Linked DNA regions of Neurospora crassa OR74A. The protein of the gene in region 1 interacts with the protein of each later gene in a biochemical or structural test. Links are inferred from orthologs where the notes say so. Each region holds a gene or a part of one and is shown in the gene's direction. Other genes may lie near its edges.

The links.
Region 2: the proteins of NCU04790 (region 1) and hsp98 form a complex in vitro, tested with the Saccharomyces cerevisiae proteins (7 studies listed by BioGRID, with this or other methods). The link is inferred for Neurospora crassa OR74A from reciprocal best matches to the Saccharomyces cerevisiae genes SUP35 and HSP104.
Region 3: the proteins of NCU04790 (region 1) and NCU03732 are reported together in a solved structure, tested with the Saccharomyces cerevisiae proteins (2 studies listed by BioGRID, with this or other methods). The link is inferred for Neurospora crassa OR74A from reciprocal best matches to the Saccharomyces cerevisiae genes SUP35 and SIS1.
Region 4: the proteins of NCU04790 (region 1) and prd-6 form a complex in vitro, tested with the Saccharomyces cerevisiae proteins (2 studies listed by BioGRID). The link is inferred for Neurospora crassa OR74A from reciprocal best matches to the Saccharomyces cerevisiae genes SUP35 and NAM7.
Region 5: the proteins of NCU04790 (region 1) and NCU07414 form a complex in vitro, tested with the Saccharomyces cerevisiae proteins (2 studies listed by BioGRID). The link is inferred for Neurospora crassa OR74A from reciprocal best matches to the Saccharomyces cerevisiae genes SUP35 and YDJ1.
Region 6: the proteins of NCU04790 (region 1) and NCU00410 form a complex in vitro, tested with the Saccharomyces cerevisiae proteins (6 studies listed by BioGRID, with this or other methods). The link is inferred for Neurospora crassa OR74A from reciprocal best matches to the Saccharomyces cerevisiae genes SUP35 and SUP45.

What each region holds. Positions count from the first base shown.
Region 1 is NC_026506.1:822,050-827,049, forward strand, and holds the start of NCU04790 (eukaryotic peptide chain release factor GTP-binding subunit), read left to right. Parts: upstream 1-1,794; 5' UTR 1,795-1,907; intron 1,908-1,988; 5' UTR 1,989-2,217; coding exon 2,218-2,548; intron 2,549-2,609; coding exon 2,610-4,414; intron 4,415-4,469; coding exon 4,470-4,526; 3' UTR 4,527-5,000. Other genes in the region: NCU04789 (RanGTP-binding protein), read right to left, coding at 1-864, 944-978, 1,074-1,253. UniProt on the Saccharomyces cerevisiae protein: GTPase component of the eRF1-eRF3-GTP ternary complex, a ternary complex that mediates translation termination in response to the termination codons UAA, UAG and UGA.
Region 2 is NC_026503.1:2,635,526-2,640,512, reverse strand, and holds the start of hsp98 (hsp98-like protein), read left to right. Parts: upstream 1-1,896; 5' UTR 1,897-2,391; coding exon 2,392-4,987. Other genes in the region: NCU00105 (ribosome biogenesis protein NIP7), read right to left, coding at 168-254, 333-377. UniProt on the Saccharomyces cerevisiae protein: Required, in concert with Hsp40 (YDJ1) and Hsp70 (SSA1) and small Hsps (HSP26), for the dissociation, resolubilization and refolding of aggregates of damaged proteins after heat or other environmental stresses.
Region 3 is NC_026505.1:2,238,043-2,243,124, reverse strand, and holds NCU03732 (SIS1), read left to right. Parts: upstream 1-1,683; 5' UTR 1,684-2,118; coding exon 2,119-2,198; intron 2,199-2,361; coding exon 2,362-3,103; intron 3,104-3,178; coding exon 3,179-3,472; 3' UTR 3,473-4,231; downstream 4,232-5,082. Other genes in the region: NCU03733 (hypothetical protein), read left to right, coding at 1-50, 113-697. UniProt on the Saccharomyces cerevisiae protein: Required for nuclear migration during mitosis. It is required for the normal initiation of translation. Might mediate the dissociation of a specific protein complex of the translation machinery. Essential for viability.
Region 4 is NC_026505.1:5,329,793-5,334,806, reverse strand, and holds the start of prd-6 (ATP-dependent helicase NAM7), read left to right. Parts: upstream 1-1,986; 5' UTR 1,987-2,506; intron 2,507-2,712; 5' UTR 2,713-2,741; coding exon 2,742-5,014. Other genes in the region: NCU04243 (U3 small nucleolar ribonucleoprotein IMP4), read right to left, coding at 547-969, 1,033-1,491, 1,560-1,565. UniProt on the Saccharomyces cerevisiae protein: RNA-dependent helicase required for nonsense-mediated decay (NMD) of aberrant mRNAs containing premature stop codons and modulates the expression level of normal mRNAs. Also capable of unwinding double-stranded DNA and translocating on single-stranded DNA.
Region 5 is NC_026501.1:6,009,280-6,014,064, reverse strand, and holds the start of NCU07414 (DnaJ family protein), read left to right. Parts: upstream 1-1,557; 5' UTR 1,558-1,874; intron 1,875-2,154; 5' UTR 2,155-2,284; coding exon 2,285-2,320; intron 2,321-2,385; coding exon 2,386-2,455; intron 2,456-2,518; coding exon 2,519-3,349; intron 3,350-3,406; coding exon 3,407-3,714; 3' UTR 3,715-4,785. Other genes in the region: NCU07413 (cytosine deaminase), read right to left, coding at 1-6, 209-280. UniProt on the Saccharomyces cerevisiae protein: Probably involved in mitochondrial protein import. Is also required for efficient translocation of pre-pro-alpha-factor. Involved in heme regulation of HAP1, as a component of the high-molecular-weight (HMC) complex.
Region 6 is NC_026503.1:3,759,493-3,764,262, reverse strand, and holds NCU00410 (eukaryotic release factor 1), read left to right. Parts: upstream 1-1,417; 5' UTR 1,418-1,484; intron 1,485-1,576; 5' UTR 1,577-1,879; coding exon 1,880-1,912; intron 1,913-2,032; coding exon 2,033-2,117; intron 2,118-2,255; coding exon 2,256-2,305; intron 2,306-2,379; coding exon 2,380-3,516; 3' UTR 3,517-3,751; intron 3,752-3,806; 3' UTR 3,807-4,363; downstream 4,364-4,770. Other genes in the region: NCU00411 (hypothetical protein), read right to left, coding at 1-8, 163-552. UniProt on the Saccharomyces cerevisiae protein: Component of the eRF1-eRF3-GTP ternary complex, a ternary complex that mediates translation termination in response to the termination codons. The eRF1-eRF3-GTP complex binds to a stop codon in the ribosomal A-site.

The sequences.
Region 1 (5,000 bases):
TTCAGGAGTCGCCCTGTGTCGGTGTAGAAAATCTTGGAAACTTGATGTATGGGAATGGAGTCTCGGATTCCAGCCATATCGATGCCGTCGAATGGCTCACCTGCGGCATCATCATCGTGTACACGTCCGTCGTCGAGATCTTCAATGATCTCCAAGTGATAGGCATACTCGTCTGGGCGGCCAAGCATCGAAAGGGCCGAATCAACGGCAGCAGAGTACGCGTTTACGGGTCCATCAGAAGACTCACCGGGGCAGTATCCGCGAGTCTTGTCAAACTTCCAGCCTAGCGGTGTGCGAACCAGCCGTACACGAGCCTTGTGCACCACCTCTTGCCAGATGGGTTTCCGTTCACCTTCGCCAACACCATATGATGGCTCCCTGGTCCATGTCTTGCCTCCAGTGCTAGGAGTGGCAGGAACGGAACTGGCACTTTTCAGCCTGGAATGGCCGCGGAAGAGCATGTAAAGAGATAGTGTGAAAGAAGGCCCGATGGGGACTGCTCGGTTAGGGTTGTTCACAAAGTGTGAGTCCCCGAATGACAAGAAGGCACTCGCCTGCATCAGTCTCGACGGAGAGATGCCAGCGTTCACTGTCGTGTTCATCCTCTCTCCCGAGGCCGTGATGGCGAGTTGGATCAGAGGGATCTCTCTGTCTATGCGGGCCAGTAGTTCCTTCATCTCCTTGATAATGGTTAGCAGCTCAATATGATGAGCTTCCGACATGCGGGCTTTCTTGCCATCGGAGCGGGAGCTCTCTTCGGCAGTAGCAGCATCGTTTAGGCGCTTCCCGAGAGAAATGATGTCTCGATGGAGAGACTTGGCAAGAGGCACAGCAGCCTCGAGGAAGACATTGCCACGGCCAGATCTTGGACACAGCGTTAGTCACATTCTTGTAAGGGCCAAGGACAAGGTAAGTAGTAAGAAGAGAGGTAGGTTGGGCATACTTGAACTCGATCAGGTCGATAGCTGGTGAAACAATCTGAAGTGGGGAATATTCGTATTAGCAAGGGGTGTCATGTCTTTGTTGGAAGGGGCTTTAGCATTGTTGGGTTCGGAATAATAATGGCCACTCACCTTGATCTTACTATCCAGAAGCTTCTGCAGCTTCTTGAGCTCGGTGTACACTCCTTTGTCGTCGACCGTCTTGAGCAGCCTCGAGCACTGGTTGACGGCGTAGGTGGAAGTGATTGCGATGCCTGATCTGATGGCGTAGTTGACCGCATGAGACCCGAGCTTGGCCAACAGTGCGTCCATGATTTGCTCAAGTTAAGAATGTGTGGATGGTTATTTGATTGGTACGGTGTATATCATATTCAGTTCCTGTCCTATTTGATAGTTTTATGTACGGAATCAGGTAGGTAGAGGTACCTTACTGTAATGCTCTCCGGCAGCAAGTGAACTTGAACGAAGCGATGCCTAATTGTTAGTGTTCGTCCCGTCCGTTTGACGTTCAGGTCCTCAAGAGTGACGTTGGTTGGCGGGTCCAGGCTTCTTTTCGTCCGGGTCTCTTTTGGGTTCACGGCCCGGCCTGGGACAGTGCATGTGCCAAGAGAGACCAGGGGTTTAGTCTGTTGCAGAGGTTCGCACTGTGATCCTGCTGATCCCATTCCACTGAATGCTGGCTTTGGGCGCACTTCTTCGGCGAGTGACTCCCCGAGTCGCACAGTGTGTGGCGGCAGTTCCGTCCTAGCGCACACAGTAGACAGCGGGACAAAAAATTGTCATGTACCCCGCCACCACTCACTGCACGCCCTCCCCAATCAACGGTGGGGCCCTACAGCCCTTGCCAGCGTTAGGTTTCTTGATCCAAATCTCTCTTCGACTTGTTCCCTCGCTCGCTACGTAGTTGGACGCGCCGACTGGACTGGTCACTCAGAGTACTACAACCAAGTACAGGTCGTCGTCAGGGTAAGTACCTACGGTGTATAGAGGCAGTTGATATAGGGCTGTCTGTGGTCGCATTAGCTTACCATCATTTCTGTCTTCTAGTATAAATCATCCATCTCCATCTCCTGACTTCAGGATTCCCTCCTCGCGCAAGGGACCTACCTTATTTATACACACCCACGTCGCTACCCAGCCGACAGAGTCGGGATTCATCTTTGCTGACCATCAGCTTTATTATCACCACTCTCCAGCCCACGAGCGAGACCCCGAAACCAGACACATTTCTACCGGCACCTTCTCGAGAATCACACGCGACCGCTATCTATCCAACATGTCCGGAAACGTTCAGAACAACTGGGAGGAGGCTGCCGACCAGGATGAGCGCCTGGCGCGCCAGACCCAGCAACAGATGAACATCAACGCTGGTACCTTCCGCCCCGGTGCCGCTGCCTTCACCCCCGGCGCCCCCTCCTTCACCCCCGGCCAGTTCGCCGCTCCCGGCTTCACTCCCCAGTACCAGCAGCAATATTACGGCGGCGCCCAGCAGGGCTACGGCGGTGGCTACCCCCAGTACGGCCAGCAGGGCTACGGACAGTACAACAACCAGCAGCAGCAGGGCTATGGCGCTGTTTACGGCCAGCAGGGATATAACCAGGGCTACGGTAGGCCGCCGCTTGTTCGTACAGTCTTTGATCGAGGAATCTAACTGATAGACGTGGATAGCAGGCCAACAACAACAACAACAACAACAACAACAATACGGTGGTTACCAGCAGAACCAGGGCTACCAGCAGAGGCAACAGCAGAACCGCGATGCGCCCAAGCCTGCCCCTCAGATCGTCAAGAGGCCAGAGCAGCCCGCTGCCCAGGCGCAACCAAAGGCCGACGCCCCCAAGACCGCTGCCGCTCCCGTCAAGGTTCTCAGCGTTGGAGGCGATGCTCCTGCCAAGGTTTTGAGCATCGGGGGTGATGCGCCCAAGCCCGCGGCCAAGGTTCTCTCCATCTCCGGCACTGCTCCCGCCAAGGAGGAGCCCAAGAAGGAGGCTGCCAAGAAGGAGGGTACCGCTGAGGCCGCCGCCAAGGTTACTGCTACCAAGGCTGTGCAAAAGACCGAGTCTGCTGCTGCTAGCGGCAGGACTTCGCCCGCTCCCTCTTCGGGCCGTGCCAGCCCGTCGGCCGCCAAGTCCGGCAACAAGGTTTCGCGCGACGTCGATGCTGTTGAGAAGGATATTCAGTCCGCCGATGTTGACGAGGATACCCTCAAGGAAATCTACGGCAAGGAGCACATGAACATCATCTTCATCGGTCACGTCGATGCCGGCAAGTCTACCCTCGGTGGTGCCATTCTCTACGTCACCGGCATGGTCGACCAGCGTACACTTGACAAGTACAAGAGGGAGGCTAAGGATATGGGTCGTGAGACTTGGTACCTCTCGTGGGCTCTTGACTTGACCAACGAGGAGCGTGCCAAGGGCAAGACCGTCGAGGTTGGTCGTGGTTTCTTCGAGACCGACAAGCGCAAGTACTCCATTCTCGATGCCCCCGGCCACAAGACCTATGTCCCCAACATGATTGGTGGTGCTTCCCAGGCCGATGTCGGTATCCTCGTCATCTCCGCCCGTAAGGGTGAGTACGAGACCGGTTTCGAGAAGGGCGGTCAGACCCGTGAGCACGCCATGTTGGCCAAGACCCAGGGTGTCAACAAGCTCGTCGTTGTCATCAACAAGATGGACGACCCTACCGTCAACTGGTCCGAGGAGCGCTACAAGGAGTGCACCACCAAGCTTGCCCAGTTCTTGAAGGGTACTGGTTACAACCTGAAGACGGATGTCTTCTTCATGCCCGTCGCTGCCCAGCAGACCATGGGTATCAAGGACCGCGTGCCCAAGGATCTTTGCCCCTGGTATGATGGCCCCTCGCTGCTTGAGTACCTCGACAACATGAGCTCTCTCGAGCGCAAGGTCAACGCCCCCTTTATGATGGCTGTTTCTGGCAAGTACCGTGATATGGGTACCATGATCGAGGGTAAGATCGAGGCCGGTGTGATCAAGAAGGGTATGAGCTTGATCATGATGCCTAACAAGCAGTCGATTGAAATCTCGGCCGTCTACGGCGAGACGGAAGATGAGGTTCCCGTTGCCCAGTGCGGTGAGCAAGTCCGTCTCCGTCTCCGTGGCATCGAAGAAGAAGAAATCATGCCCGGTTTCGTCCTTTGCTCGCCCAAGCGTCTTGTCCACAACGTCACCGCTTTCGAGGCTCAGATCCGTATTCTTGACCTCAAGAGCATTCTGACTGCCGGTTTCAACTGCGTGCTTCATGTTCACGCCGCCATCGAGGAGGTTACTTTCGCCGCTCTCCTCCACAAGCTTCAGAAGGGCACCAACAGGAAGTCCAAGCTTCCTCCTTCGCACGCCAAGAAGGGCGACAGCATCATTGCTCGTCTCGAGGTTACCGGTGGTGCCGGCTCCGTCTGCGTTGAACGGTTCGAGGACTACCCCCAGATGGGTCGTTTCACCCTCCGTGACCAGGTATGTTATTTCTTGTCTGTTGCTTGACGTGAAATTGGACTAACACATTTTGTAGGGTCAAACCATCGCTATTGGCAAGATCACCAAGCTCATTACCGATACCTCTGCTTAAATGGCCAAAAGAAGGTTGGTGTTCTCGGCGAATTTGAGCAAAAAAACTGCACCGCTCGAGTCAAAAATGTAAAAGGGATCAAGTAGGCTTTGCATTGGTTATTTGCTTGAGCGCGGGGAAAGCCTTAGCAAGGGTTCTGTTTACGTTTTTCGAAACGAAGCATTGGGGATATAGAGCAAAATACCAGTTGGAATGAGAAAGCTTTGTTGCGTTTGGGAAGTCCGGATGGCTTGGTCTACGTGTCCAAGTTCTTTTCGCTTGACTTGACGGTGACTTTTGTTTGCCCAAACCTCTACACTACTTTGGACCCGGAGGATATACGGATATACCCGTACCGGGGACCCAGCTCATTGACGATCATTCAATCGGGACTGATGTCCCAAGAAAGCCAAGCTGTAACTGACGCTAGTCGACCATCCCAACTGAAAAACTCCCCGAGGAACATGCGGGGAGAGCGGGACCGATGACGAGCTA
Region 2 (4,987 bases), on another chromosome or scaffold:
TCTTTGTCAGTTTATCTGGCCCTTATTCTGGTTGGTGGTGGTGTGGTGGCTGTCATCGCCGTCGCAACGGCTGTCGTTGTCCTCGGTGGCGCACAGCCAAAAGGGAAGAGACGGTGTATCGAGCAAGGTCGAGAGGAAGCGAGGGAGGCGAGAGAGGCAGGACGTACGCGAGAGTGGTTCAGACGGAAAACGTATCTGTCGCCATCATCGAGAGGAGCGATAAGACTCTTGAGATCGGTGCAGTAGTTTGCAAGCTTTAGGGTGCCAAAGCAATCAGTCAGCTGTTGTTCATCCTTGTTTGAATATGACATTGTTTCGGCACTGAAACTGACCTTCTCGAAGACGGTCTTCTGCTCCGTTTCTGTAAGAGGGCGCATCTTGTCGGTGTGTTGTGAATTGATGGAGTTGGTGATGCAATGCGAGGGAATCTCCAAGCGCTGACAGCCGCAACCGATGGAGGTTCGCCCGCGTTTCTCTGCCAGAACTTTTTTTTATCGACAAGGAAACCCACTCTTCCGATAATGGGGAGACGCCAAGCCATCAATTCTCCGCTTTAGATGCAATGGCTGCAGTGGATACTCGTAGCTAAAATAGCCGAGTCCCACTTTTACCCGCTTCTACGTTTGCCGTGCGCGACCCCAGCGTGCCGCCCTAGCGACACTGTCACAGGCCGGCAACTGAAGTGACAACCTGAAGCGGATAATATGCCACATCCATGAAGTTTATATTTCCAGAGGGAACTCCTGCATCGCGATGTTCATCCAAGTCCTGGTGTGATGGAAGAAACAAACCCCAGTCGAGGCCAATGATCTCCAGCTGTATCCAGCGGGCTACTCTCTTTCAGGATTCGGTCCTCATCTACACGATTGTTTTCCTGCGCGGCGAGCCTGGCTGACTTCTCAATCGTCCTGGTAGCCCAGATTGCTGGCAGGGTTAACCGTGCAAGTTAGCTTTCCAGAGATTGTAATGCATATCGGAGTGATATCGCAGCAAAGAAGCTCGCTGTTCAACTGACAAAAGCGTAACTAGAAGGCCACTTGACGTTGGAAGTGGCAGCTTGTGGTTCTGGTCGTGAATGGGTCGAGCCATGGCCTTGCACCCATCAAAGAGGGATTATAAGTCAACTTCTACTGACACAAAAAGAAGCCAAACTAGTATCAAGCATCGAGTTGATCGATTGCCATTCAGACTCCTCAACCAGTGTCTCCGTTCCTGTCCGAGGTTCTCAAGTGGGGAGGTGTTGATGACTACATAGTGGCAAACGAGACGTGGGAGTATTGTGGTATAGAATACCACCGAATGCACCGAATTCATCCATCTCGAAGGAATATGAAGTGTGACCAACCAAACTGGCTCACGTTGGGCGCGCTGGTTAGAGGAATCTCATGATACCCAACCCACCACGATGCGCAACATTACGTATTCGACTATCTCGTCGTAGAAATCACGGATGCGCAAGGAGCTTCCCTTACGCGGTAATCGCCGAAGACCTTACTGCGCCTTCTTGGCCAGACCTGTAGATGGGAAAAGGTATGTATGGTGAGAGAGAGATGCTGGAGTGTGAGGATACCGACATTGTGGTTCGTCCAACTGGGAGAGAACGTCCCTTGTTGTTCATCTGCGCAAACGAAGACAAAGAACAACGGTGAAGGATTATAGTGGAAGGAGAAGACGGAAGTGAAAAGAAGCATTGCAGTAACGTCCAGCTGTTTGGGTCTCGACAATCCTCTCTGGTTGGAGTCAGGTCGATGCAGGTACTGCGATGACGGAGAGACAGTCCGAAAGCGCGGACCCCACTGGAAAGCTTCCATGTGCCCCGCCCTCCAGGTACCCACTTTATACCCCTCAAGCCCGAACAGGAGCCAACAGTATATGGTGACAGGAAGACCGCTGAAGATTCGAGTCGCTTCGTTCTTGCGGGCAGCCTGCTTGCTTGTCACTATGATGTCGTCGCTTCCCGTGCGCCCGCCCGCACAGCTACCTCTACTTGCGACAGGCTGCGAGGACCATCGAGAAGCAGCTAGAGGTAGATACTCATCCCACTTGCTCTTGCACGGCCAGCTCGGGCATCAACTCGCGACTTCTCTCCCCACCAAGGCTCACGAATAAATTCCACTCCTTCTGACCTCTCCCCCCCGTCAGCGATTCTTTGTTTGTTCCCCAGATCAAAACACAAAAGTCTACTAAGAGATACCCCAAACACAATTGTTCTTTTCTTCTCCAAGATATACATCAAGAGTGAAGCCTCACGTCACACTAGCTTCATCTCAACATTTCCGCGATTTTTCTCTTTTGTACATCAACAATAACACATACACACACACCCCCAATCGAAACACAACACCACACAAATTCTGTAGGGACCAACAGAGTCTCGCACACTAATTCATCATGACGTCGAAAATGGAATTTACAGACCGGGCCAAGAAGGCATTGGAGGATGCCATGGCCCTGGCAGAGCAATACGCCCACTCGCAACTCCTCCCCGTTCATCTGGCAGTCGCGCTTCTCGACCCTCTCCCAGATCCGAGCAAGGACCAGCAAAATGCACCAGCCGGGGCAACCAGCTCTCTCTTCCGCCAAGTCATTGAGAGAGCCCACGGCGATCCCCAGCTGTTCGACCGCGCCCTCAAGAAGGCCCTCGTCCGCCTCCCCAGCCAAGACCCTCCTCCCGACCATGTCTCGATGGCTCCTTCCTTCCATACAGTCCTGCGCAAGGCCAACGAGCTGCAGAAGACGCAAAAAGACACATACATTGCCGTCGACCACCTTATCACAGCCCTGGCCGAGGAGCCCTCGATCATGAATGCGCTCAAGGAGGCCAACATTCCCAAGCCAAAGCTCGTTACCGATGCCATCCAGGCCATTCGCGGTACCAAGCGCGTCGACTCTCGCAATGCTGACACTGAAGAGGAGCACGAGAATCTCGCCAAGTTCACCATTGATATGACAGCCATGGCCAGGGAAGGCAAGATTGATCCCGTCATTGGTCGTGAGGAGGAAATTCGGAGAGTGATCCGTATTCTTTCACGTCGTACCAAGAACAACCCTGTCCTTATCGGTGAGCCTGGTGTCGGTAAGACTACCGTCGTTGAGGGTCTCGCTCAGCGCATCGTCAACGCTGATGTGCCCGACAATCTGGCCAACTGCAAGCTTCTGTCTCTTGATGTCGGTGCCCTGGTGGCTGGTAGCAAGTACAGGGGTGAGTTTGAAGAGCGCATGAAGGGAGTTCTGAAGGAGATCTCCGAGTCCAAGGAGATGATCATCCTTTTCATCGATGAAATCCATTTGCTCATGGGCGCTGGCGCGTCCGGAGAAGGTGGCATGGATGCGGCCAACCTTTTGAAGCCAATGCTCGCCCGTGGTCAGCTTCACTGCATTGGCGCTACCACCCTGGCCGAGTACCGCAAGTACATCGAGAAGGATGCTGCCTTTGAACGTCGTTTCCAGCAGGTCATTGTCAAGGAGCCTTCCGTTTCTGAGACAATCTCCATTCTACGTGGTCTCAAGGAGAAGTACGAGGTGCACCATGGTGTCACTATTTCCGATGCTGCCATTGTGGCCGCTGCAAATCTTGCGGCCCGCTACCTCACTTCCCGCAGACTTCCTGATTCGGCTATCGATTTGATCGACGAGGCGGCTGCCGCAGTCAGAGTCGCTCGAGAATCGCAGCCCGAAATCATCGATTCCTTGGAGCGCAAGTTGCGTCAGCTCAAGATTGAGATTCACGCCTTGTCTCGCGAGAAGGATGAGGCTTCCAAGGCTCGTCTTGAACAGGCGAAGAAGGATGCCGAGAATGTGGAGGAGGAGCTCAGACCCCTCCGTGAGAAATACGAACAGGAGAAACAGAGAGCCAAGGCTCTCCAGGAAGCCAGGATGAAGCTTGAGAGCTTGAGACAAAAGGCCGAAGAGGCTAGCAGAATGGGAGATCACAGCCGTGCTGCTGATCTTCAGTATTACGCCATCCCCGAGCAGGAGGCAGTAATCAAGAGGCTTGAGAAGGAAAAGGCTGCGGCTGACGCTGCGCTCAACGCCGCTGCGGCCGAAACCGGCGGTGCCATGATCACCGATGTCGTTGGTCCCGATCAGATCAACGAGATTGTAGCACGGTGGACCGGTATTCCCGTCACACGCCTCAAGACCAGCGAGAAGGAGAAGCTTTTGCACATGGAGAAGCATCTCAGCAAGATTGTTGTCGGTCAGAAGGAGGCCGTTCAGTCTGTGTCCAACGCTATCAGACTGCAGCGGTCGGGTCTCTCCAACCCCAACCAGCCTCCCAGCTTCCTGTTCTGCGGTCCTTCGGGTACCGGTAAGACTCTGCTCACCAAGGCTCTTGCCGAGTTCCTGTTTGATGATCCTAAGGCCATGATCCGTTTCGACATGTCTGAGTATCAGGAGCGTCACTCTCTCAGCCGCATGATTGGTGCTCCTCCCGGCTACGTCGGTCACGACTCTGGTGGCCAGCTGACTGAGGCCCTTCGCCGCAAGCCGTTCTCCATCCTTCTCTTTGACGAGGTTGAAAAGGCAGCCAAGGAGGTCTTGACCGTTCTGCTACAGCTCATGGATGACGGTCGTATCACGGACGGTCAGGGCAGAGTCGTCGATGCCAGGAACTGCATCGTTGTCATGACGTCTAACTTGGGTGCTGAGTACCTTTCTCGTCCCAACGCCAAGGACGGCAAGATTGATCCAACCACTCGCGAGCTTGTCATGAACGCCCTGCGCAACTACTTCCTTCCCGAGTTCCTCAACCGTATCAGCTCAATTGTCATCTTCAACCGTCTCACTCGTCGCGAGATCCGCAAGATTGTCGAGCTACGCATTGCGGAAATCCAGAAGCGGCTCCAAGACAACGATCGCAATGTCAAAATCGAGGTGTCGGAAGAAGCCAAAGACAAGCTGGGTGCTCTTGGTTACTCGCCAGCTTATGGCGCTAGACCACTGCAACGTGTGCTTGAGAAGGAGGTTCTGAACCGCTTGGCCGTTT
Region 3 (5,082 bases), on another chromosome or scaffold:
AAGGGAAGCGTATTGCTGATGCCTCAATCTCACAAGCCAAGTCTCTCGAGGTCTGTCCGTCCGTTGCGCAGCCCGTTCTCAACAATCTTACCGCGGCTGACAGCACAAGTAGTACCACAACGGCGGCATTGACTACGATGGAACCTACATCTGGGCCACCCTCTCCCAGTATCGTCCCAACACAACTGGAACGCTTGTGAGGATGCGCCCCGACACGCTGGTACCAGAGCCCATCTTGAGCGTTGCAGACCACCAGGGAGGAGCGGTCCACGACACAAAGTCCGGAACTGTAGTCACCTTGAACTGGGGGTCGCGCAAAGCGTCGATCTGGAACGGGCACGACAAGCATCTGGCGCCCGCCAAGTTCACTCAGCCGCGGGCAGTGGTCAGGAATCCGAGCAGCTTCATTGACTATCAGGATTGCAAATTCCTGGGTCGTTACGAGCTTTACGAGACCCGGCCAGTGATGTTATGCTCTGGCGTTGCAGACTTGGCGAACACGAGAATCGGCGGTATCGCGATAGTGGACATGGAAACTATGGTTCCTTTACACGAGGTTCCTGTGACCTTGGTGTCGGAACATGGTGCTGCAATGACCAAGAATCCAATGGATGTGGCTGTCGTGGACGGTAAGATGAGGCTGTTCTTCCTGCCCGATGAAAGGAATTCGACTCTCTATGTGTACGAAGCGGTTTGAGTTAGGACATACCGAGCAACGTGGATTATTCTTCTCGGTGTTTGTTTTGGCGTGTTTTTGCACCTTTTTTTTTTTTTTTTTTTTGCCTTCGTCAGGGGTCATCAGAGCAGGTCAACCGGGCTTATTTGGAAAGTCATGACAGTAGGCCTCAGGTCTAACTTGTTCTAGATCTGCTCTGTACCGTCGTGATTCGAGAAATAGAGTCCCGCTTTGCTTCTCCTTGGTGGTTGATGACACATATTTGACGAACTAGTTTAATCCTTCATATGGAGAAGTTCTTGAAGACATGCTTTGACTTTGATCTGCTCCTGACTACAAGTTCTATGGTGAGCTATCCAGGCCTCATTTGTGTGGAGTTGTCGCGGATTTTCCTTATCATGGGGCTGTCATTAAAAGATCGAGTGCGGCCGTTGCTTGCTGTTGGCTTCCATGAGGTTGTGCAACCTTCTTCGTTGCCTTGTAATAAGGCACAATGTAAGGATGATTGATTGGAATCGCGATCATGATTTACGGCAATCCATCCTGTTTCATCGATGCGAGTGAGTACCAGAAGAATGGGATTGCGGGCGAATGGGTATACTGGTATGACGAACTGAGCTGGATCTAACTTTCAAATATCTGGTGATGTGCAGCCCATCGAAGGTGCTGGGTGATGATGTTCATCTTTGATAGGTGCTCCGGACGCGTCCCAACCGCTCAGCAGACTGCTAGCACAGTTTCGCTGAGGTCAAGCGAAGGTCAACTACTTAATGGAGCTTCCCTTCCTGCTAGCTGGCTTGGCGGCCCGCATCAGTTAGTGGGGACTTGGCCTGGACTTACATTGTTAGTATTACTCTTTCCCTGCAGCAGCAAACTGCTCGGGGACATGAAGATTACTAACAGGCGCTACTTTTAGCATGTACCCACTACGCGAGCCCTGCGTCACTATCTCCAGGTCTTGGAAGCCGATAGGCTCACGGTCGAAGGTTCTACAACCTCCTGTTCCTGCTACACACGCCCTTCGCCAAGGCATTTTATGGCCTTGTCCCTCCCTCTTCCACCAAGTGATAGCTTCCTCTCCGACTCTGTGTTGCATCTCAATTCTGTTCAATATCTGAAATCCCTACTCTTGCATTGCGAATTTGCTCTCGCGCATTCCATCAAGATCGACTTTGACAGGCGCTTTACGAGCCATCCAAAGGACCCACGAGCGCTATAGAATCGCTAACGTCTAATACGCATCTGTCATCGCTACCTCACTCTACCTTAATTACCCTACCCGTACCACTACAACAACACAGAACACGTCGGGTTAATTGTTCTCCCTTGCACCTAACGACCGCCGAGACACTTCGCGGCTCTGATCAAGCTTCGCGAAACAGCCTCTACATTTTTACTAGACTCACATACACTACACTCGTCTCTAATATTGCGTCACAAAGATGGTCAAGGAAACGAAGCTCTACGACCTGCTAGGGATCAGCCCTACGGCTACCCAGGACGAGATCAAGAAAGCCTACAGGTGAGCATATCTCCAACCCGAAACCCCACATAACTGCTCTCGCATCTCGCAGTATAAGATCGAGGGAGAGATCTCCTCTTTCCTACGCCATCCTTCTTTCACTTTGGCATTCACATCATCCTCTCTTACAGCCTTCAGTGGACCCCTGCTGACCCCTCACCAGGAAAGCCGCCCTAAAATGGCACCCCGACAAGAACAAGGACAACCCGGAGGCTGCCGAAAAATTCAAGGAGTGCTCTCAGGCGTATGAAATCCTTTCGGATCCCGAGAAACGCAAGATGTACGATCAGTTCGGCCTTGAATTTATCCTGAGAGGCGGCCCGCCCCCGACTGAGGGCGGCGCAAACCCATTTGCCGGAGCTGGTGGCATGCCCGAGGGCTTTGCTTCTTTCTTTGGAGGAGGAGGCATGCCTGGTGGCGGAGGAGGTGCGAGAACATTTTCCTATGGATTCAATTTTACCAACCCCGAGGACCTCTTCCGGGATGCTTTCCGGGATGAAAAGATGGGCGGCGGCATGGGTGGTGGCATGGGTGGTGGCATGGGCGGAATGGGTTTTGAAGACATCCTCTTTAATGCTGCGCGTGGTGGTGCAGGACAGCGCCGAACTGCGAGAAACCCCTTCGGCGGCGCCGACAACATGCGCAGCGCCCGCCAAGCAACACCCGAAGTCACGACAGTTGAACGCCCCTTACCCGTATCCCTTGAGGATCTGTTCCACGGCACGACGAAGAAAATGAAGATCAAGCGCAAGACCTTTGACGAGACCGGTAAGCGCACGACGAGCGATACCGTCTTGGAGGTACCAATCAAGCCCGGCCTCAAGAAGGGTAGCAAAATCCGGTTCAAGGGTGTTGGTGATCAAGAAGAGGGTGGCCAGCAGGATTTGGTGTTCGTCGTCGAAGAGGTACGTATAAACTCCCTTCCCTTTCTTCACGCATTGCCTTTTTGAAGGAATGGCCAGCTGACAATGTGGTTTTAGAAACCACATCCGCTTTTCACTCGGGACGGCAACGACCTAATTCATACTATCGACTTAGACCTCAAGGAGGCATTGACAGGGTGGAAGAGAACCATCACGACGATCGACGGCAAGAGCATTAACATTGAGAAGGCCGGCCCGACACAACCTGGGAGCCAAGATGTATATCCGGGCCTGGGCATGCCCATCTCGAAGCAACCAGGCCAACGGGGCAACCTCATCGTCAAGTATAATGTCAAGTTCCCCACCAGCTTGACGCCTGAACAAAAGGAAAAACTGAAGGAAATCCTCTAAATGGGGTCAAGCGATGAGTATCGGTTCTCTGTGGTAGTTCACTCTCGGATACCTTTGTCCTTCTTGTCGCCTCAACAGGAAGGGACCAGCAGTCTTGGATTGGCCTGAAGAACAGCTTTTAACGCCGGCCTTTGACAACATTCGGGAACCTGTTCGGATCCACCCCCTTGAGTGTATGTAGAATGGTGGGCGTGTTGGATTTGTTTTTTACCCGGGGGGCATTTGCTTTGGTCTCTGTCCGCCATGTGCGGTTCTTGACCATGGTCCACCATATTTGGGCGTTACTGGATTTGTTTCTTCTTTTGGTGCTCAGCTTTCATCGCGTCAGGCTCGCATTGAGATTGGTATTGTTGGTTTAGGCGGCATGTGTGGTGGGAGCTGATGATGACAATTTTCATGATAATGAGTATCCCCGACAAAAGTTCTTAGGCCCCCTGTTGTGAATGTTGGGAGAGGAAAGGGCGCTGGTCTCTCTTAGCATGTTGCGTCCTCTCAAGGTTCAACAATAGCCAGAGACACGCGAGGCCAACGTCAATGGGAATACCATAGCAGGCTTAGATATCAAATGGCTATATCTTTTATAGAAGACGGCTTGGACTACTGCATCTCGGAATGGATTCAAGGTGACAATCCTCGGTCACCACCACCAAACGACACACACGAGGAGAAAATTGATCGTGACCATAGACTACCAAGCGGGGTGGCTAGAACCGATAGATGGACATAGTTACTACAGAATGAAAATCAATGTGCCCAGAAAATCTCTCCCTTTCTCGACTTGACCTTGGAGAGAAACCATAACTTGCTGAAAGACGACGCGGAGCGACATGTGGGAATATGTGCAAGTTCCAGCTACAACAAGTTGGCCAAATAAACACACAGTCGTGTACGTATCTTAGGGGGGGAAGCCACGGCGGGGCCGAATCCAACTGCGAAGAACGATGATTCAACTTGTCCACTTTTCACTTCATCTTGGCTCTCATCACGGGATTTTTGAAAGTACAAACAAGAGGGACAACGACATTGTTAGGTCGGCCCGTCTACCTACCCAACAGCCATTCCAACACCCCGCCAAGCCAAGGATTACATATAACCGGCTGGCTGGTCGATCGGGAAACGCGGCATAATGGGAGAATGAGCGGAAGCGGAAGTGACCACTCGGTCTTACCTTTCCCGCGTTGTCGCTTACCTATACTGCTTTCTGTTTCATTTGTTTTTCTTTTTTTTCTTTTTGGGACTCGGATGGCTGTTCTACTGCTGACTTGATCATCATTTTGGTGCTGATCTCAATGGGGGGTCATGGAAGCATCTCTACGGTTAGATATTTTTGTTATTGGACAAAAGATTTGCAGGGTCCGGGTCCAAGGTTTCTGTGAGGTTCTGGATTCGGATTTTTGAATCGAGCGCTTTCACCTGTTTTCGGTTTTGTTGCTGTGTTGTTCTTCGCGAAGATGGTTCGACCGAGGCCTGTCCTTGGCTGCACGATGTTCTTGGTCTCATTGATGATGATAGTTAGATAACTAGCTATCACTCTCACAATCACTTAGTGCTACTGTTAACAAGTTAGAGTTCCTTTAGCGTACTTCCCGGGCCCCGCTCTATGTCACGGT
Region 4 (5,014 bases), on another chromosome or scaffold:
CCTTTTTTGTCCCATCCTCCAGCCCCATCGTTGCGTGCGTTACCTCCAGTGTGACATGTCGTTGATAGACATGACATGCTCGTTTCACCGCGGGAACCTTCCGATCCTCACAGCCACTCGGCAAGCAGCCGACCCAGCAACCACGCCCATCACCAGTCAGACGTTGATGCGATCATCTCTGGTTCCACTAGAGTGCCGAAGCTGGAACACAGTACTCGCTATCTTGGCCAGCCACGTACTACCTCGGGCGGTAGAGGAGAATATAAGCGAGAATTCGGCTAGGCATCTGAGCGGTCTTCCCATTGCCTCCTGCTACTGAGCAGCAGACAAATTGGTGAAAAGGGCTTTCCGCCACCAGATCGTGTCTTTGCGTTTCCCCTGGCTATCCTTTTTTCAGGTTTGTCCGGCGCAATCATCAGGTCCAGTGCTTGACGTTCGTGGCCCAGCAGCAACTTGTCTCGGAAGCCATGCTCACTTGCTGTGACATCCCACCCAATCCAACCGATAATAACACGACTATAGCGGCCCTTTTGTTCCAATCACCGCTTAAAAGTAGTTCTTTTTCCTGCTGGTCCTGGTGTACTGGCTGAGGTGCCATTCGGTATCCGCATCCTTGTTGTCGAGGGTGCCCATGGTGATCTTGAAGGGCTTCATCGTAAACCGGGGTCCAACCTCACTGAGCTCGACCGAGTCGTACGAGGTGCGGACATAGACGTGGTGCCTGACCTCAATCGTATCGTCGTTGTTGACAAATGTTATGACTCTGTTGCCGACGTTGGGTTTCTGTGTCGGCTCGCGGGGAGGGAAGAGGTGCTTGAGGATCTTGACCACTCGCTCACCGAGTTTGGTGCTGAAGCCCTCGAAAATTAGCCTGGGGTAGCTTTCGCTGACTGTGCCCTTTATCGACTTGGGAATATCGGCGCGGAGAACGACGTTGTGGAGGGAGACCATGAGCGTCGGGCCATGGGGCTATAGCAAGGATTAGAAAATGCGTTTTGCAAGTACAACAACATGCCTGGAGGGACAACGTACGAAATGGGAAATGGTCATGGCGGTAGGGACACCACGGTGCTCGTGTAGCAAAACAACATCCGTCAAGTTTTGCGCCTTGGCGGCGCCAACAAGGTCTTCCAAAACGAGGTTACCACGGTTCAGCCGAACACTGGTGGGTAGTAGGAGACGGATTTCCTTGCTGAACTGGCCGAGTCTGCTGGAGGGATCGCGACTTGTCGTAACCAAGATTCTGGGGTCAATGACACCCGACAACTCCGAGTATTCGTCGTCGATATCGATGGCGTCTCCGTTCACATCCCTCGAAACATCGTAGTCGAAGTCCTTTCGCAATTCCTTGTCCTTCGCAATCTCGGGGTCGAGTGGCTTGCCCGAGGCCAGGGCAGACCTCAGCTTGGCGCGCTTCTCTGCAACCTCGGCCTCCTTGAGCAGGAGGGCTCTTCGGTAAAGGTAGTCCCGCCTTTGGCGAGCTTGCTTTCTCTATTGCAGATGTTAGTCATGGACATTGAGAAACTTGGAGAAGATGACGAGTAGACAGGGACACTTACAATCATCTTGTTGTGTTGACACGCTTATCAGACGGTAATAAGTGATTCGGTGGAAGGGATCGCGCCGAGCTCTCAGAGTCGTGTTGTCGAAAGTGGTAGTAATGAGGTTGTCGATAAGAATTAAGGCTGCGAAGACTGGCAGAAATTCAGATGTTCCGGGTCGATACTAGTGGAGGGCGGAGTGGTTGGTGACGACAGGGGTGTTCACAGAGAAAAAAGTCGAAAAAAGTTACAATCGAATGGGACTAAGCGCGAGGTGCACGGATCTTTTCAGCTTGGCGGATACCTATTGGCTTAGGTCCCGTCGATTTGCGCCTGCCGGGAAAGAGATCGCGCCTGGGTCGCCCGGTTCAACGCCACCTTAGGTACCCTGGCTCCCTTCGCTGCAGCTTGTGCCGGTTTCCCAGTACCTACCTACCTACTTGCTGCCCGCTTTCTAGAATACAGGGCAGTTTCAGGCGCTATGACTGCCCGTGCTTCTCAAACAGCTGAGCCCAGAACTGGAGGCTGCTGATAGAAGGCCGTCGGATATCAAACAAGGGAACGACGAACCTCCAACCTGAACCGCAACCGTGACCCGTCCGCCAACACAAACTGAACGGAAGTCGGCCACCGGCAAAATTCCCCCAAGCAAACAACAACCGTGACCTTGAACGGCGGCAACCAAACCATTTGCTTCACAACACCAAGAACAACCTTAAGCGAGCCGATCAGTGGTCTCACTCTGCATCAGCACCTCGACGTTCTGGCAGTGTCGTCGTTTCGAAAGCCCCCGCGCGCAACACAGCCCGCTCGCCGATCCAATCCGTTATGCGATGATGTGACCTTTTAGACGACGTCCAAGCCCATAATCTACATCTTTCCATAGTCCCGCATTGCGACAACCCGCAATACGACAGCCACACCTTTTACCTTTCGACAAAACTTCCGGGTGTGAACTCTTCAAGGTACGCCGCTTGTTTGCGTGTCATGTTCATGTAAACACTGAAATACACATCCCTCCCCAACAGCCCGCTCAACAGCTACAGGCTGGACCGCGGCGTATACCAACAGTACCTTACTTATCTCGTTCCCCAACGATACCTGCCTGACCCTACGTTACTGTTGCGAATTTCCCTCCCAGACACTTACTGACCAGCTGCTGGTGCTCCAGAGTTTACCTCCGTCAACCCACTCGCCATCATGGCCAACATGGAGGTGTCCTTCACACACCTTGGAAACCACTTGGTTTCCGACTCTGCTGCTGCCATCAAGGCCGGTGGCTCCGACGAACTGTCCAATATCGATCCCGATGAGAACCTCCTCTACGGTGTCTACGGTGGACGTGGTCCCCGCGGCAATGGTAGACGCCGCCACGATGACGACGACAACGAGACCGAGGTCCTTGATGACGATGATGACGAGAGTTTGGCCAGCGTTCCAGTCGACGGCATGAAGAGCCTCAAGCTGGATGCCCCCGTGGAGGAGAAGGAACTGCCTCCCCACGCCTGTGCCTACTGTGGCATCCACTCGCCCTCTAGCGTCGTCAAGTGCCTTACCTGTAACAAGTGGTTCTGCAGCGCCAAAGGAAGCGCCTTCTCGTCCCATATCGTCAACCACCTTGTTCGCGCCCGTCACAAGGAAGTTCAACTTCACCCCGAGTCCTCCCTCGGCGATACCGTCCTCGAATGTTACAACTGCGGCACCAAGAATGTCTTCATCCTCGGTTTCATCCCTGCCAAGTCAGACACGGTTGTGGTCCTCCTCTGCCGCCAGCCGTGTGGTGCTAGTACGTCGACCAAGGATATGAGCTGGGATATATCCAGGTGGCAACCCTTGATCGAAGACAGGGCTTTCCTCAACTGGCTCGTCACCCCTCCCACGGATGCTGAGCAGCTTCGTGCTCGCCATCTCACGCCGCCCATGATTGCCAAGCTCGAGGAAATGTGGAAGGAGGCACCGAACGCGACTGTTGCCGACCTCGAAAAGACTGCCGGAGTCGATGATGATCCTCACCCGGTCTTGCTCAAGTACGACGACCCTTATCATTATCAGAACATCTTCGGCCCTCTCGTCAAGATGGAATCCGACTACGACAAAAAGCTGAAGGAGGCCCAGTCTGAGGATGGCCTTCAAGTCCGCTGGCATCTGGGTCTCAATAGTAAACACGTCGCCAGCTTCATCCTTCCCAAGATCGAGTCCGGTGACGTTAAGCTGGCCGTTGGCGATGAGATGCGTCTCAAGTACAAGGGAGAGCTGCGCCCGCCTTGGGAGGGTGTTGGATATGTTATCAAGATTCCCAACAACCAGTCCGACGAGGTTGAGGTGGAACTTCGCAAGTCAGCCAATGACAAGTCTGTCCCCACGGAATGCACACACAATTTCTCGGCCGACTATGTGTGGAAAGCGACTTCCTATGACCGCATGCAGCTGGCCATGAAGACCTTTGCCGTCGACGAGATGAGTGTTTCTGGTTACATCTTCCACAAGCTGCTGGGACACGAAGTCCAGGTTGCCCCGACAAAGATTACGATGCCCAAGAAGTTCCACGTTCCCGGTCTCCCTGAGCTCAATGCCAGCCAAATTGCCGCCATCAAGCAGGTCTTGTCCAACCCTCTGAGCCTTATCCAGGGTCCTCCGGGAACTGGCAAGACCGTCACTTCGGCCACCATCATCTACCATCTTGCCAAGATGAGCAACAGCCAAGTTCTTGTTTGCGCCCCATCCAACGTTGCTGTGGACCAGCTCTGTGAGAGGATCCACAGAACCGGCCTGAAGGTCGTTCGCTTGACCGCCAAGTCCCGTGAGGATGTCGAGTCCTCCGTCAGTTTCCTGGCTCTCCACGAGCAAGTTCGCATGAATACTACCAACAAGGAACTTGATGGTCTCGTCAAGCTCAAGACCGAGACCGGCGAGCTGTCTTCTCAGGATGAAAAGAGGTTCAAGCAGCTGACGCGCCAGGCCGAGCGTGAGATCCTGCAAAACGCTGATGTAGTGTGCTGCACCTGTGTTGGTGCCGGAGATCCGCGACTTTCCAAGATGAAGTTCCGCAATGTGCTCATCGACGAGTCTACACAGTCTGCCGAACCCGAGTGCATGATTCCACTGGTCCTTGGATGTAAGCAGGTTGTCCTGGTTGGTGACCACAAGCAGCTTGGCCCTGTCATTATGAACAAGAAGGCCGCCAAGGCTGGCCTTAACCAGTCGCTCTTCGAGAGGTTGGTCAAGCTTCAGTTTACCCCCATTCGCTTGAAGGTCCAGTATCGTATGCATCCTTGCCTCTCTGAGTTCCCCTCCAATATGTTTTACGAAGGATCGTTGCAAAACGGCGTCACTGCCGCCGAGAGACTTCGCAAGGATGTTGATTTTCCCTGGCCGGTCCCTGAGACTCCCATGATGTTCTGGTCCAACTTGGGCAACGAGGAAATATCGGCCTCGGGCACATCGTACCTCAACCGGACTGAGGCTGCCAATGT
Region 5 (4,785 bases), on another chromosome or scaffold:
TCCGATCTGTTTGGGGGTATGGGTTGGTTTGGGATCATTAGCAAGGCTAGGTATGTAAGGCCATGTGTCGGGGAACCTAAGGGTAGGCTTGATCGTGTCGAAACTCGGTAGGAGTTTTCTTTGTAAGAATCTCTTTCTGTGATTTATATATACTATTCCGAGGGAGATTGGTAGGTACCCGGTAGAAGAGAATATCAAGAAGACATACAGGAATTCCTCCTTGTTCATATGATTTCTTAGCCTCCTTGAAGGCAATGGCTAGACCGGCAGCATCATCCATGATGGAGGAATTTAGGGAGGTCAAATAAGAGGTATGCTATGTAAGAGGGCTGAGAGAACTTTGGAGTGCAGAAGGTAGGTAGCTATGGTCTGGAAGAGATAACTTTTCCAGAAGTACCACCGTGATGTTGTCACTCGACTTCAACTCGCCAAGTTCCCATTTTCCACGTTTGATGAACATCAGGCTGATTGAATATGTGACCTAAGACACCTTATCTCCCTGGTATCTCCGTGGTATTGGTGTATACCTATCTAGCCTTTGTAGCAGACCCCCCACTTCCGAGATGTCACTCAGTGCGATAAGGTGCTGTTTGCGAGGGTAACCATTTAGTTTCATATCAAACTGCCATTGAACCGGTGTACTGTAGGCATTTGAAAAAAAAAAAAGAAAAAAAGAAAAAAAGAAAAAAGAAAGAGAGAGAGAGAGAGACAAAAGAGAAAGGCATCTGAGCTAGGACACCTCGGTAAGGCACAGATGCTGAGGCTATATAATTCATGGATCTTAATGATTTGATCCCGAGTATCTCCTCTTGAACCACAGATAGACGCTCCGAGTCTTTTTGGTGATCGATAAGCAAAGCAGCAGCGCACGTCATTCTCGCTTGCTTCACCTGGAATTCTCTAGATGAAAGGTAAACCCTTATGAGAAGCTGCCCCGCGACGAGTGGTTGAAGGGGGTTGAAAAACCGAGGGGCAAAAGGCGACCTCAAGATGTTAGTGGGGGTTGTTGGGAAGCGGAACGCCTGCAGGGTTTCGAGCGGACGCCAACTCGGATCCAGACGAGACAACATCACCAACAACCCAATCAGAGGACATGCATGCTGCCTTGTAAAAAGAAGATAAAATGCCTAGTGTAAAGATGGTGTGCGTTTTTACAGTTTTATCAAAGGTACATATGCACCATGTTTTGCATGATTGCGTGCGGTTAAAATAAAAGTTGAAAGTTGGGCATTGGTCACTGTCACATTGGAGCGCACCAGCCACGATCGACAGGGTCCTCCAAGGTCAACCGAATTTCCATCTGCATCTCCTGAGGCTAGATCCTCTCAATGAGTGATAAAGAGGTACTTTGGGATGAGTGTGGGGAACCTGGTCACCTCTCACCTCGCACGCCCTCTTCGCAACCCTGCAGGAGCGGGACGAGGAAGTAGCTCATTACTGGCCCCCATATCTGTCAGCCACACTCTAGAGCTTTCGATTGATTTCCATGAGAGGGGCTGGAGAAGAACTCACTGGGCCAGTCACCCACTTCAGCCTCCTTTGCCGTTCCGGGCCTCCCCCCAACGCACAAGGCGCCCGCCGCATCCCTCCCTCTGCGCCTATTCCAGAATTGCAGTGAAGATTCCGGTTCTGTTGCCCTGCCTTGGTTGATAATATTTGAACCCTGCTGCCGGTACTTGGACAGTTTTCTCGAGAAAGTTGATCAGTCATTCCGTTATACCCCATCTTCCGTCTTGCGTGTTGCTACTACAACTACGCCTCATCAAGCCTCCTATCACTCCCAACTATCCTCCGGCGACTCAAATCCCGTACCTTATCAACTATTTTCATCTCGGACGCTTCCTGCTGCTGTCACTGTAGCTCAAGCTGTTCTGGTAGGTCCATCCCTGTTTCTGTCCGTTCCTGTTCTGCGCTTCTTTCTCGGTGCCCTGGACCAGCAAGCGAGGCCTGGAAGTCCCCAACTTCTGCCAAACCAACCCCGACTCGGGACCCCGTCGGCCTTTCCCAACCCTTTGCGCAAAAAGATCTTTCTCTTCCACCGTTGTCCACCACCACTCTTCATTTGCACCAGCCATTCATTGTCTCCTCTCGACTCCATCTCCATTATTCTCGACACGACCTCGCAGCCGCTGACCTTATCTGTCTTCCCATCAGACCACGATTTCTTAACGGCCCTGACACATTCCCATATCCGTCATTGTCATCGGAACTGATTGTCCAGAGCATTCCGAACTGCCAGAACATTTTCCCACACCCATTCACATAACTAGACCAGACAGTCAAGATGGTCAAGGAAACAAAGCTCTACGAGACTCTTGGAGTAAGTTCTGCTGCTTACCGATACCCCTCGCCTGACAGAGGAGGCCCCCTAACGCCCATATTTAGGTCAGCCCAGATGCCACTGAGGCGCAATTGAAGAAGGCATACAAGACCGGTGCCCTTAAGTACCACCCAGGTATGTTCCGCCTTCCCTGCAACACGCGCAGCCAGAAGGCTTACTGACCACAAAACACTACAGACAAGAACGCCAACAACCCGGCTGCCGAGCAGAAGTTCAAGGAGATTTCTCACGCATACGAAATTCTTTCCGACTCCCAAAAACGCGCCATCTACGATCAGTATGGCGAGGCTGGTCTTGAGGGTGGCGCCGGTGCCGGTGGCGGCATGGCTGCCGAGGATCTGTTCGCTCAGTTCTTCGGCGGCGGTGGCTTCGGCGGCGGTCTCGGTGGTATGTTCGGCGGTATGAACCAGCAGCGTGCCCCCGCGAAGGCCAAGACTATTCACCACACCCACCACGTCTCGCTTGAGGACATCTACCGCGGCAAGATCTCCAAGCTGGCCCTTCAGCGGTCAATCCTTTGCCCCAAGTGCGAGGGTCGCGGCGGTAAGGAAGGTGCCGTCAAGCGGTGTGCTGGCTGCGATGGTCAGGGTACCAAGATCATGATGAGGCAGATGGGCCCCATGATTCAGCGCTTCCAGACCGTCTGCCCTGACTGCAATGGCGAAGGCGAGGTAATCAAGGAGAAGGATCGTTGCAAGCAGTGCAATGGCAAGAAGACCGTTGTCGATCGCAAGGTCCTCCACGTCCACGTTGACCGTGGCGTTAAGAGCGGCACCAAGGTCGAGTTCCGTGGTGAGGGTGACCAAGCACCTGGCATTCTCCCCGGTGACGTCGTCTTCGTCATCGAGCAGAAGCCCCATCCCCGCTTCACCCGTCAGGAGGATGATCTTCTTTACAAGTGCGAGATCGATCTCGTGACCGCCCTTGCCGGTGGAACCATCTACATCGAGCATCTCGATGAGCGCTGGTTGAGCGTCGACATCCAGCCCGGCGAGGCTATTGCGCCCAGTAAGTGTTCTTCTGTCCGGCTACATTATGCATCAGCAAGCGCTAACAGCAAGATAGACTCCGTCAAGATGATTCGTGGCCAGGGTATGCCCTCCTACCGCCACCACGATTACGGCAACATGTATATCCAGTTTTCCGTCAGGTTCCCCGAGAAGAACTGGACTCAGGATCCCGCTGCCTTCGAGGCTCTTCGCAAGTACCTCCCGGCCCCCGCTGTTGTCAACGTACCCCCTCAGGATGCTATGACCGAGCCAGCAGAATTGGAGGACGTCGAGGGCAACGGAGCCGGCCGTGGCTTCTCCAACAGCCCTATGGAGGAGGATGACGAGCCTCAGGCCGAACGCGTACAGTGCGCCTCGCAGTAAGCGAGCTAAATGGGCGGGGAAGCAGTACCAACCTTATCCATAATTCGACGATAAATTGCGGCACAAGCGACGGTCCAACAAAGCGTGCCATGCACGACATTGTTTGAGACTTGCTATGGAGGATGAATGATTTGCAACGATTCTAAATCATTTCATGTCTCTTGTCCCCATGATCATCCTTAACGAAGCAAATATACCCGATTACTCGACTCATTATCGAGTATTGCACATTTGACGAGGCACGATATTTGAGGGGCCGACAAAACGAAGAGTTGGAGAAGGGAACAAAAAGGGGGTATGATGCAAGGTGAAAACCGGTAATACCTGAAGTGTGATCAAGTCGGCACGGGTGGAAGGGATACGATCACACTTATCCACACAGCACCCGGATTATCACTATCACGGTGGAAGAAGAGGGTTCAATCTCGTTGTTTGATGTTCCCCCTATTTCACCTGCGTTTAATGACATGGTGGACTTTTACTTCTATCGATGTCAAAATATATCAACACCCGGTCTTATTGGCAGGCGTTCTAGAGAGGATATCGGACTGATAGAAAAGAAGGATGAAGGGCATGGACATGGCATTACCGTCTTATCCCGGCTATTTGCTTCATATGAAGGACACAGGAAGGTCATGTAGCATGAGAAAGGAACAGGGGGGGACTACTCAGTACATGCTCATGCTACGCGTATCACATGATTGCTGCTCACCTGGATCCAGGAAGAAAGGGGGAAGGGGAGCTGGATTTTGTTTTATTTTTTTCTGGGATTGTTAGCGAAATGATCAGGATTCCTGAATGCCATATTTCGTTTCATTGGCGAACTGCATGTTGTTATGTTGTGGTCATTAGATATAGGCTGCCGACGAGCTCCTAGCGTACCCATCCAGTGTACTCACAGTCTTTAAGACCGCGTGCGTGTAAATTCGCCATTCAAGGCAAATCGGACATGATTTTGAGCATCTGAGACCGGAGCAACACGTCAATTTTCCAAACCAAACATCAGCCTCCTGGGGGCCAGTTAGGGCACCTCTCGTTGGTCGTGAAGACTCAAGTAAATATGAACCTCAT
Region 6 (4,770 bases), on another chromosome or scaffold:
ATCATGACCTGTTGTTTTTGGACTGTTAGTTGTCCGGTATTCATTTTGAGAGGACGGCGATGTATCTAGAAAGCCAGCGGGGCAAAGGCCGGGAAATCTCTAGATGAGAGCGATGATGGTGGTGTAAATATTCCAAAACAAAAAAAAGCAACTTCAACATGCCTGATCCCTCGCCGTAATCAACACCACCTTCCACCACGTATCTGCATTGCGTATACTGTGCAGGTAGCTCTGCTCGTACCGCAGGTCCGGGATCGGGGGTAGGTGATGGATGTTGCGCCGGGGCCTGGACTTGACCACGTTGTATTCGCTCGCCTCATCCGTTTCTGTTTCCGACTGTGCGTAGTCCTCCTCGTCATCGTCCTCGTCGATCCCGTCGTCAGGTATGAGTGAGTCATGATGCTGACTGTGACTGGTCTGGGTCCGGAGGGACGCAGGCTCGCGCTTGGACGCGGCGGTAGAGGGGTTGATGTCGTGCGAAGGAGAGGGATCGCGCTTGATGTGCGCTGTTTGGATGGTCTCAGCGATCTGTATGGGGATGTCGGAGTTCATGGTTTACGGCGCAGACTGCAAGTTCTATAGCCCGTCTCGAGGTTGTTGTCTATGGGAGGTGTAGAGGACTACTCTGCTCTGAGGTGAGGTTACGCGCGAGCGGGAGATAGCGAACATCGAGGTCAATCGACATCATAGCTTCAGGTACCTTCCGGGGTTGGCGCAGTCCACTGGAGCGGTACGTATTAGCTCCTGTACATTGCACTACACACCAGGGCAGTGTATAACACACGTAGGGCTACGGGCAGGCAAGGGGCCGACACCCAGCGACTACCTACCTCTAGGTACATATTGCTCTCTCCGGGCAGAAATGTGTCACAGTCGCAACTTCCAAGGACGTAACCATGGAAGACACCCGGCAGTATAAAGGCAGTAACAACATTGAGGCCAAACATCAAAAAGTCGGCCGTAAAGGAACGGCATAACACATCCCATCGAATTTCTAAGTGGTTGACTAGGTACCTAGGTAGGTACTAACACGGCCAGACCGCTTCCATTGTCATCGCCTCAAGATTGCCATCTTTGTTCCTGCTGTGACGACAATCCTCGACACAATCGTAGGCTGATTCGGAGCAATTCTCTGCAAGTTCAGTCTGAAACGGGAAGGAAATGTGGGACCCGGTGTGCTGGACGGCCAAACGCCACAGCCTGAAGTTGTGCCAAGTTGATGCGGTGTTGAACTGAAGGACGAGGTCAGGCGGGAGAAGGGATGTGCAGGTGTGAAGGGTTCAAGTTGCTAAGGCCCAGGGCAAGGGGCCCCCCACGCCAATGATGACTCGCGTTTCGCCCCACCTGTGACGGAGAAAAAGAGAAGGTGCCTGATAAACACACGGGCAGACAGGTCGAATAGGGCAGCGGAAACCCCTCTGTAGGTACCTTGTGGCAGGCGTGGCCCACTCGCTAGGTAGTGAACATAGGTACCGGCAAACTAGGTACGCACCTACGTCTGCCGCATTTACTCCAGATCAGGCGGGGCATTCTCCCGGCTTCTTTGGGTTCTTCTTACTGACAAGCATCAATTCAGCCAATTAGCCCATTGTGCGCTTTCAAACCAGGTTAGTAGTTCTAGAACTGGAACCCCACTGAATACAAGGAAATCCAGCGGCGAGGCACATTGGCCAGGCGAGGCATAGTCGAAGTAGTGGGCAAAAAGAAAAAGAACAACCCCAACCTGCCCACTTTGTGGTCCTGCCCTGCTCGCCGCCCGTTGAAAGCAGATCCAACCAAGGTCGACATCACAAACCTCGCTCGCTGCACCAACTTAACTTCAGGGGCGCCAGCAGCACTTCGTCTTCCTCATCTTCTTCACCACCCCAAAACAGCCAAGATGGATCCCAACGCCAACGAGGCCGAGAAGAACGTGAGTGGCTCATCATCATCCCTCTCCCGACTGCGCGCGCGCGCGCAAAAAAAAAGAGAAAAAAGACACAGTTCCCGACGTGATGTTCGCATGCTGACGAGATGCTCTTGTCCCTCATAGATTGAGATATGGAAGGTCAAGAAGCTGATCAAGCGTCTTGAGGCCGCCCGTGGAAACGGCACCTCCATGATCTCGCTCATTATCCGTACGTTTGTCTTTACCATGGCATTGTCACCGCCGTCTACCCTCCCTTGATCACACAGCGAGATCATTGGCAGTAATCCTCGCTGCTCTGCTGCTTACGGCCCAATGTCCAGTGGTGCTAACCCTTGATCGTCTCCAGCCCCCAAGGATCAGATCTCCAGAGCCGCAAAGATGTTGGCTGAAGAATATGTGCGTCACCATGCTTCCCTCCAATCTCGACACCCTTATTGTGTCGGACAGTTGTTCCTGACTTAGCACTATAGGGCACTGCCTCGAACATCAAGTCGCGTGTCAACCGTCAGTCCGTCCTTTCGGCCATTACCTCCACCCAGCAAAGGCTCAAGCTCTATAACAAGGTGCCGCCCAATGGTCTTGTCGTGTACTGCGGTGAAATCTTGACCTCAGAAGGCAAGGAGAGAAAGGTCAACATCGACTTCGAGCCCTTCAAGCCCATCAACACCTCCCTCTACCTTTGCGACAACAAGTTCCACACCGAGGCTCTTGCCGAGCTTCTCGACTCCGATCAGAAGTTTGGTTTCATCATCATGGATGGTAACGGTGCTTTGTTCGGCACTCTCAGTGGAAACACCCGCGATATTGTCCACAAGTTTTCGGTCGATCTTCCCAAGAAGCACGGTCGTGGTGGTCAGTCCGCCCTGCGTTTTGCCCGTCTCCGTGAGGAAAAGCGTCACAACTATGTCCGCAAGGTCGCCGAATTGGCTGTCCAGTGTTTCATCACCAACGACAGGCCTAACGTTGCCGGTCTCGTTTTGGCTGGTTCCGCCGATTTCAAGAACGACCTGAACGCCTCCGACTTGTTCGATCCCCGTCTCCAGACCAAGGTTGTCAAGGTTGTCGATGTCTCGTATGGTGGTGAAAACGGTTTCAACCAGGCTATTGAGCTGTCCTCCGAGACCCTCGGAAACGTCAAGTTCATCCAGGAGAAGAAGCTCATCGGCAAGTACTTCGAGGAGATTAGCCAGGATACCGGCCGCGTCTGCTACGGTATTGAGGATACCCTCAAGGCTTTGGAGCTCGGTGCCGTTGAAACCCTCATCGTCTTCGAGAACCTTGAGGTCAACCGTTGGGTTCTCAAGGACAGCAACGGATCCGAAGTGATTCTGCATACTACCAAGGCACAGGAGCAGGCCAGCCGCGACGCTTTCATGGACAAGGAGACAGGCCAGGAGATGGAAGTTGTTTCCCAGGAGTCCTTCCTTGAGTGGATTGCAGAACACTACAAGGATTTCGGTGCCACGCTCGAATTTGTCTCCGATCGCTCTACCGAGGGCAACCAGTTTGTCAAGGGCTTCGGTGGTATCGGCGGTATCCTCCGTTACAAAGTCAACTTCGAGCAGCTAGCTGACGTCAGCGACGATGATGAGTACTACGACGATTGACAAGTTGAATCCCTCGCCGACAACGAGGGACCCGGAACTCAAGCTATCCCGTCCGAGCCGACGACGACACCTAAAGCTGATTCAGCGCCGCTTCTCAAGCCAGCCAGCTCGGGCAAAATGTCCGCAGCTCGCTCCGGCGCAAGCCCTCATCAGCCGGGTAACCACCAGGTGTCCCGCCCGAGCCCGCTTCGCTCTATGATGACGGCTTCTTGAGTTTGATTTAGTGGAATCTAAGGTATGGCATTTTCTTGTTTGGTCGACCTCTGGCCACTCGCTAACAGCCGCAACAGAATCAAATTGCCTATGACTGAAGCGGAAGTTCTATAAATGGGATGCAGAGTTGATTCTTCGCAAGTCTTACCAAGACCAACGAATGAATTGTCCAAAATCCCTTAGCTGGACGCAAAGCAATACCTCAAGTTGGAAGATGGAAAGGATTGAATGTCTAGCGCGGAACCATGAGGAATGGATTTGCTTTTATTCCGGGGACTGACAGCGTCTGTCTTCATGAACACTCTTTTATGCTTTCGGTTCATAAAAACTGGGTTATGGAATTTTGGGTGGAAAAAATCAAACAGGTCGATATGAGATATGGTTTAACTAGGGCTTAGTACGCGGTAGCCTAGGACCGAATTCCACGCTCATTCTGTCTTTGTTAGATCCTGATGGCTTTTAGTTTCGATTGTTCTTGATAACCGTCTGAAGGGTAACTATCTACAGTTGGCGCTCTCAAATAGTGCCCATACTCCAAAGATCAACAAAAAAAAGAGCTGTCCTATTGTACTGTTATTAGCGTAAATACTAGGTTTCAAAAGCAGGGACTATGCAGTCCTCGGCGATCACAATGTCATCACTCGTTCATTGTGGGGCTGTCCTGGAAACGCGACTTTGATGAGGTCTGGGAAATCTGAAGCCGGTAATCGGGGCCGGAGCGGGGCCCGGCGGTCGGACCTTTGAGAGGTAACCGTGTGTGGCCGGTCGAAACCAGCATGAAGACAATTCGGGATGCCCGGTGAGTCTGAGTTGAAGGTATGCAATAGAGCAGCTTGTTGCTCGGGGCAACGACACATGAATAGTGGTACCCCGGGACTTCAAAATTACTTCTTTCACCAAAAATCCATCTACTGCGTCAGGTACCATGCACATGGGTCTTCCAATGCTCCGCTGTGCTCTCTGAATGATTGGTCACTGGCACCTTTTATTCCCAACTCATACACAAATCAGGGGACTTAACTCTTCCAACTTCCTACATCC